Linked DNA regions of Neurospora crassa OR74A. The protein of the gene in region 1 interacts with the protein of each later gene in a pairwise test. Links are inferred from orthologs where the notes say so. Each region holds a gene or a part of one and is shown in the gene's direction. Other genes may lie near its edges.

Region 1 (3,824 bases):
AGCTTGTATTCCTGATCTGATGTGTTCTTATCGTCAGACTCGGAGAAGTTTTCTTGATCCGAGAGATTCCTATCGCCCAGTCTCCAAAGGTAGTCGGCCTCGATGAGAGTCCTCTTCTTGTGGGGTGTGATTGGAGTTGGGGGAGCCGAGCCGTAGCCAGAGTCGGAGGAGCTGTGAGGGGACTCATAAGGTGAGCCACAGACGTGATATTGACGTTGGGCTTCTTGGAGCAGGGGAAAAGGCGTGTGAAATGTCATTGTGCCTGTGGGCCCAGGAACGAAGGCTCGTGAGCCACGATTGCTGTTGTCGTTGCCCATAGCGAAGATACAGCCGATATATACCGAGGTACTGATGATAGCACGAGTAGCAGACCTCAAGTGAGAAAAAGATGAGCTGGAAAAAGAATGTTTAGTGAACCGGTCCCATCAAGCTCGAGACCACACAGGTTGTCGAAGCTGGAGTGATGAGATTGTTTGGTGAAGTCGGTTGAATGAAGTGATAGATGGTGATGATAAGAACCGGGAGAATCTGCTGGTAACGAAGGGCGTGTGGAGCGACAAAGACGTCGAGCTGTGTGCGAGAACCTGGACGAGAAGCAATACTTGTCGTCGGTGTGCTCGAACGGTGCTCGAGTCGCCGTCCGAGGATAGTAACCGTATTCAAATGCTGGTATTGTTAGTAGTGCTGCTGCTATGGTGGTGGAAGCGTAGTAATAATTCCGGGTGCGTGTTCCTAGGAAGAAGCAGGAGGAAAAGAAGATGGAGTCGAGGAGGCGTATTTGGGGGGGGTTGACGATGAGGTTGAGGTCAGCAGTTTTCTGTGAGGGAAGACTGATGTCGAAACTGAGAAAGCGTCACCTAGACGTCCACGCCGGCCATTTCAACTGATTGATGAAGCGCAATATCCTAGTGAAGTGAGTGTTTGTGTGTGTGAGTGCAAGAACGCCCCCGGATGTGAAGCAGGTTGTGATGAAGTAGTAAGTTCAGTTTCGTTTGTCAACCTCGAAGGTTCAAGTGGAAGAAGTTTGCTGGTCAATCAGGAGGTCAGTCAGGCACAGGGAACTCATGAGATGACTGAACACTCAGCAATAACAGGTCAAACAGGCAGGCAAGATCGGGTCAGTTGGAGCGAAAACTCTGTCATCCCAAGTCTGCACAATAGGAAAGAGTAACTCTGAATAGGCAGAGGACGGGTGAGTCCCAACGAGACCATGCCGAGACCGGCGAGGTTCAGTTGGGGTGGACATTTTGTTTTGACTGCAATCCATTGCAGGATGCTGGCCATTCTCCCATATCAAGAAGGCACGATGCCCAAGGTCGGTAGTAGTAGACATTAAGTAATTGTTCTGTTGGTAAGAACCACAGGCACATCCAGGACCAGACACAACACAGAATCAAAAGGGTTGAAAGATGGAAAGAGGAACGGAGGATTGGGTGTGGAAGTTCGTTCCTGCATGATGTTATTGTAACTGACATCCACGATAAGACCGATAAGCTCGTTCATTACGTCCCACTCGCACTGGAGCTGTTGCGCCAAGCCTTCACACAGGCCAGGGCTCTCCCGGTAACCAGCGGCATTGCCATACGACGCTACACCACAGTAGGCATAGCGCGCTGTTAGCAGTTGCCTGCCCCGTCCCATCCTCTCCGACGTCACCTCATCAAAGGCTACGGAACATGTATGTGCCTTTCAGGCAAGCCCCGATTTCCCATCCAACCTAGCCCCTGAAACCAACCCGTTGACAGTTGATAGCAGTATCATGGCCGATGTAAGACACAACCGGACTCCAGTCTAGACGCTAGGTACTTTGGCAGGCTGTTGACTGATGGGGAGACGCATCCCAGCAAGGCGGATCGAACCACGGCATAGCCCGCACCTCGAGAACGCGCACCGAAGAGCAGCGCCAGAAGGACCTCGAGCGCATCAAGGACTACCGCGCTCTTGAGGACCAGGTGCGCCATCACGCCGCAAAGAACGACTACTCCTCCGACGTCTTCGCCCTCACCTCCAAGCTCCTGCGCCTCAACCCCGAGTACTACACAGTATGGAACGTCCGCAGGCGCTGCCTAATCTCTGGATTATTGTCCAAGCCCTCGCCTGGCTCCTCGCCCTCGAAGGCGTTGCCGACTTCTTCTCCGACCGCCACTACCACAACCTCTTCCGCCGACTTCTCCTCCTCTTTGTCGACCGAGACCCCGCCCGCCCCCGAGTCCCAGACAACTGGGAAGAGTGGTATAACAGCTGAGGACGACGAGGAACAGAAGCAGCAGACGCGGCAGCAGGATCAACAGAACGACCAACAAATACTCCAGAAGGAACTGCACTTTACCATTCCGCTCCTCCTCGAATCGCCAAAATGCTACTGGATCTGGAGCTACCGGCTGTGGATCCTCAAGCAGGTGATTGAAAGACTGCCGGTCCCTGTAGCGCGAAACATATGGGAGGAAGAACTGGGTCTGACCTCCAAGATGCTCCTGCGAGACCAGCGCAACTTCCACGCCTGGGGATACAGGCGGCACGTGGTGGAGCAGCTGGAGAGTCCAGAGTTGGAAGGCAAGAGTCTTGTCGAGTCAGAGTTTGAGTTCACGACCAAGAAGATTTCACAGAACCTCTCCAACTTTTCGGCCTGGCACTCGCGAAGCAAGCTCATCCCGCGGTTGCTGGATGAGAGAAACGCAAATGATGAGGCGCGGAAGGCTTTCTTTGAAGAAGGTCAGTTTTCCCACCCCCTCCCGTCACTACGTTAGCCAAATGGGAAAAATCGGTCGGATGAGAACTAACCACGTCCGTATACTAGAACTCAACAAAATAGGAGAAGCAATCAACGTCGGCCCCGACGATCAATCCCTTTGGTACTACCACCAATTCCTCATGCTGAACCTAGTCAACTCTGCTGAGCATCCGACCATCGCCCCCGCCTTCACGCAAGAGGAGCGCGTCACGTACCTGCGCCGCGAAATCGAGAGCATCCAGGAGCTGTTGGAAGATTACGACGACGCCAAGTTGATTTATGAGGCCTTGTTCGACTATACCCTTTATCTCTGTCAGCTGCAGGGGAGAAAGCCGAATGAGCAGGAAGAGAAGGACCTGAAGGGCTGGTTGGGAAACTTGAAGAAGCTGGATCCGATGCGGAGTGGAAGGTGGGCGGATTTGGAGAGGGATTTGGGATTGAAAGAGTAATGTGTGTGTGTGTACAATTTGTGTGTGTACTTGTTCAATACTTGTGTGCAATAAGCATATATTACCGAACCTTATGCAATCCCCAGCCTTCCTGATGCCGGCGGCCGTTCGGGTGTGCACGTGGTACGGGTACTGCATACATGGCATGGCATAGCATGGCATGGCATGGCATCGGCCGCATGACCATCTCTTATCTCGTCTCCTCTACCGACAGAACCACTAACTGACCCTTACTGAGATCCTCCACTTTTCTTTGATTGCTCAAAGTTGCCCCCTGTTTGCCAACCAGGGGACCTTTTCATCGAGTCCATGCCGGCGTTGGAAGTTTCGGCAACGTCAGTGTAGGCTGGCTTGTCTTACCCCTCATGGCTTTGTTTGGGTTGAATAAAGTCAGGATAGCATAACAAACGGAATGGTGAAGGGAGTGATGAGAGAAGAAGGAAAGAGGAAAAATGGGGACGAAATGGATACATAACGGGTAATTAAAATTGGCGTTGATGCAGAGTGGTATTGGTCTGGGTGTTTTTGTCCGTTGGAGAATTTTCCCAAGGTAGTTCTCTATCTGTAACTCTGAGTGTAATGCGATTCTACAACCATCGTATGCATCAAGATTAATACAAAATATACAGTCAAGTGTCACACAT
Region 2 (3,644 bases), on another chromosome or scaffold:
GTAGACCTTACAAGAAAATGTCACTACAGCAAGGTGCAGCAACCCATCACAAATGGCGCATATACGCGTAATGTTTTGTTCACCGTCAGCTCCAATCGATCGCTTCTTCTCTGTTTTTTTTATGGTGTCCCTGTTCTGGGTGTTGCTCTCCGTCGGCTGTCACGGCGTTTGAGAGTCTGGAGGGCCTGGCCGGACTACACCAAGTCCATTTCGGGACTAGCTCCAGGAACACCGCGAGGCCAAGCCCGAAACTGTTGCTGTCCTTTCTCGATTCTCACTGGCTGCTCAACTGTTCTCTCGTCCCATTTGCTGGACGGCCATGTCTTCCGCGACAAGCGCTGTCTCCAATCCGACAGGACGGGTTCAACGTTGCTTCCAGCGCTTCACTGCAACTTTTCTTTTTTTTCACCAAACTTTGAGGTCTTTTGTTGAATCATATGACGGCATCATGTTGAATATGTGAATCAAGGGCAAACAATCGCGTCGAAACATGCCCTACAGCTACCTATCAAAAGTCTGGAACTCTACCGGAGACTTGGGCCTTGCTTTCCGGTGGTTTCAGCCACCACCTCCCGTTCCTGGACTAAAGAGTCTCGATTCACAAGTGACATAGATGCATCACGGCAAGATTCGACCTGGGCAGTCCACGTTGCAAAGTCCAAAACACCAAGCCAAGACCCGTCACCGAAGGCGTCTCGATCATGATTGCACGAGACCGTGATCTGCTGCAAGGACTACATAGTGTAAAGCTGCACTGCACTTACCCTGGCCAGATCTCGTAACATTGGACCGCATTCTTTTTTCCGATTTGACGGCCGTGGAAGAGGCTGGATGGCCGGACGTTGTTGCGCACTTGCGCCAGTCATCGACGTTGACGGTCGCAACGTTCGCTTCGAGATACGGTCTCAAATCGGCTGTGACACCGGTGTGCCCTACTCTACCCCCCCATGTAAACGAGAGGATACCGATTCGAAGCGCCGGTCAGATTCGTCATCTTGAAGCGCAAATTGGCCCAAGCAGGCATTCCAAACTGCCATCGTATGTCAACCAGCTGTTTTCGAGAAACAAGATCGTCACGCCTCATCAGGCTGTGGACAATGTCCCAAGTGGGTGGTGAGGGATGTCTTCCAGTTCAATTTGGATGGAGAGACAAATGCCTTCACCCCCCTGTACGATGACTGTTCGTATCCTCATCTTCAGCGCCGGTGCACTGTACACTTACTCGGTACGACTGCTGCCCAACCTATCAGCCCTTCATTTAAAAATAATCACGACATTCATGAGATGAAGCTCATTTACCTCATTTGCACTCGCGAGAGATCCCAAAAATCAAATGACTCTCGCAAATACGCGTGTCCCGCCTTTGGGGCATCTGCCAAGGTCACAAGAGATGATGAATTTGTCGGAGCTCTGATGATAATTGTCATTGCGCCTTTCCTCCTCCAGATTGAGCAAGTTGGAGAGGGCATTTCTTGGCATGGCGTCTGAATGGTGCAGTGTGGCTGCCAAGTACCGATTACGTAAGTAAGACCTCAGCGTCCATCTATGGTGGGGTAGTACCGGCGGGCAATGGAGGCTGAAGGGAATCGTTCAATCGTAACTCCGACTTCCGACTTCCGTTCCCACAATGCTGGTTCCTTGAATGCAGCCTAATCCCATCCAAGCTTCCACCCACCGCACCACACATAAAACCCTCAAATTCTCCAACATGACACAAAGCTTCACCTCTCTCCCGCAAGAGCTGCAGCTCGCAACCTCTGCCCACGTCAAGTACATCCAGAGTCTCGACTCCCGAAAGGACGAATATGACTACTGGTTGACGGAGCATCTGCGTCTCAATGGCCTCTACTGGGGCTTGACCGCTCTGCACCTCCTCGGCCACCCCGAGGCTCTCCCGCGCGCTGAGACCATCGACTTTGTGCTATCATGCCAGCACGAGAACGGCGGCTTCGGAGCGGCACCCGGCCATGATGCCCACATGCTGTCCACCGTCAGTGCCGTGCAGATCCTCGCCATGGTCGACGCCTTTGATGACCTCGAGACGCGTGGCCGGGGCAAGGCACAGGTCGGAAAGTGTGCGTTGCTTGTCATCAAACCTAGGTAAACCCCCATTGACACTTTGTACTGACACTGTCGGGTCCAGATATTGCCAGCCTCCAGAACCGCCAGACCGGCACGTTTGCGGGTGATGAGTGGGGTGAGGAAGACACTCGCTTCCTTTACGGCGCCTTCAATGCCCTTTCTCTTCTTGGCCTCCTTCACCTTGTCGATGTTGACAAGGCCGTTGACCACATTGCTGCGTGCGCCAACTTTGACGGCGGCTACGGTGTCAGCCCTGGTGCCGAGTCCCACTCTGGTCAGATCTTCACGTGCGTCGCTGCCCTCACCATTGCTGGCCGCAAGGAGCTCATTGACGTTGATCGCCTGGGCCGCTGGTTGAGTGAGAGGCAGATCGCTGGCGGCGGCTTGAACGGTCGTCCGGAAAAGAAGGAGGACGTGTGCTATAGCTGGTGGGTGCTGAGCAGTCTGGAAATGATTGGCAAGACGCACTGGATCGACAAGGCGAAGCTCACCAGCTTCATCCTGAGCTCGCAAGACACGGACAAGGGTGGCATCTCGGACAGGCCTGGCGACATGGTGGATGTCTGGCACACCTGCTTTGGTATTGCGGGTCTGAGTTTGCTGGACTATCCGGGCTTGGAGCCGGTTGACGAGGTGTATTGCATGCCCAAGTCGACCATCAAGCGTGTCCTGGGTCGTTAAGTGTGGTGTGATGTTGTCGGAATACAGTACGATGGCTCCTTCTATCAATCTCATCATCGTGACATGACACAGGATATCAACACAACTTACCTCCTGCCATCTAATAACCTTCCGACACGCACTCCAGGCGTCGGCAGGATACAAGGCGGGAGAAGAGAAACATCGTTCTCGTTTGGGCAAAAGACGTTATTGCATCCCTTCAGTGGGAATGTGAGGCGTTTGGAGCCCAGATGAGTAACTCCCTACTGGTTTATTGTTGCTTGAGAGTACCCAACATCAATCGACATGGTTAGGTAGGGGACATTCCATAGTGTTCCTATAATACAATTTTCTGTCACTTGAACCACTCGCACATTCTGTCTTTGTGTTGTCACTGTCTAATTGTCTACCTTTGCTCCTTGATGTTCTTGTTGGCACTCTTTGGTGTGTTCAATTCTTCTGACATTTGCAACCCAAGGCATAAAGCCATGATCCCTTCATCGTTTCCTTCGTCTTTCAAACTGAATTGTTCCTTGAGCTTTGTTTGAATGTAATGACCTGTTACTGCATCTACCCGTCTCGCAGCTTGGTCGCCTACCATTGGACAATTAGTTGCTGACTTGATGGTATCATTGAGAACAGTTTGAAGAAGTTGCCCGTTTGTTACGTTACCGTTGATTGAGATGCAGGGACATGAAATAGTCTCACCAACGACACTTGCCTTTGACATCAACAGTGAGTTCTATGAGCTGATAGCAAGTTTTCTCAGGCAACCTGGACACCTCTCGGGGCCGAAGATTAATCAACTTTTCCTGCGACTTCCTCCAGAAATCGTGATTTATTACGTTACAGTACCGCACTGCACACTCACCTTCCAGACTCACCCCTCCAAATCCGTGATG

What was found.
Region 2: the proteins of NCU01571 (region 1) and NCU07509 interact in binary tests that used the Saccharomyces cerevisiae proteins (3 or more experiments, as listed by UniProt). The link is inferred for Neurospora crassa OR74A from reciprocal best matches to the Saccharomyces cerevisiae genes BET4 and BET2.

The regions. Positions count from the first base shown.
Region 1 is NC_026502.1:3,049,000-3,052,823, forward strand, and holds NCU01571 (hypothetical protein), read left to right. Parts: upstream 1-1,673; 5' UTR 1,674-1,759; coding exon 1,760-1,768; intron 1,769-1,844; coding exon 1,845-2,712; intron 2,713-2,797; coding exon 2,798-3,180; 3' UTR 3,181-3,307; downstream 3,308-3,824. Other genes in the region: NCU01572 (WD domain-containing protein), read right to left, coding at 1-317. UniProt on the Saccharomyces cerevisiae protein: Catalyzes the transfer of a geranyl-geranyl moiety from geranyl-geranyl pyrophosphate to proteins having the C-terminal -XCC or -XCXC, where both cysteines may become modified. Acts on YPT1 and SEC4.
Region 2 is NC_026501.1:354,780-358,423, forward strand, and holds NCU07509 (geranylgeranyltransferase beta subunit), read left to right. Parts: upstream 1-1,623; 5' UTR 1,624-1,642; coding exon 1,643-2,075; intron 2,076-2,143; coding exon 2,144-2,763; 3' UTR 2,764-3,112; downstream 3,113-3,644. UniProt on the Saccharomyces cerevisiae protein: Catalyzes the transfer of a geranyl-geranyl moiety from geranyl-geranyl pyrophosphate to proteins having the C-terminal -XCC or -XCXC, where both cysteines may become modified. Acts on YPT1 and SEC4.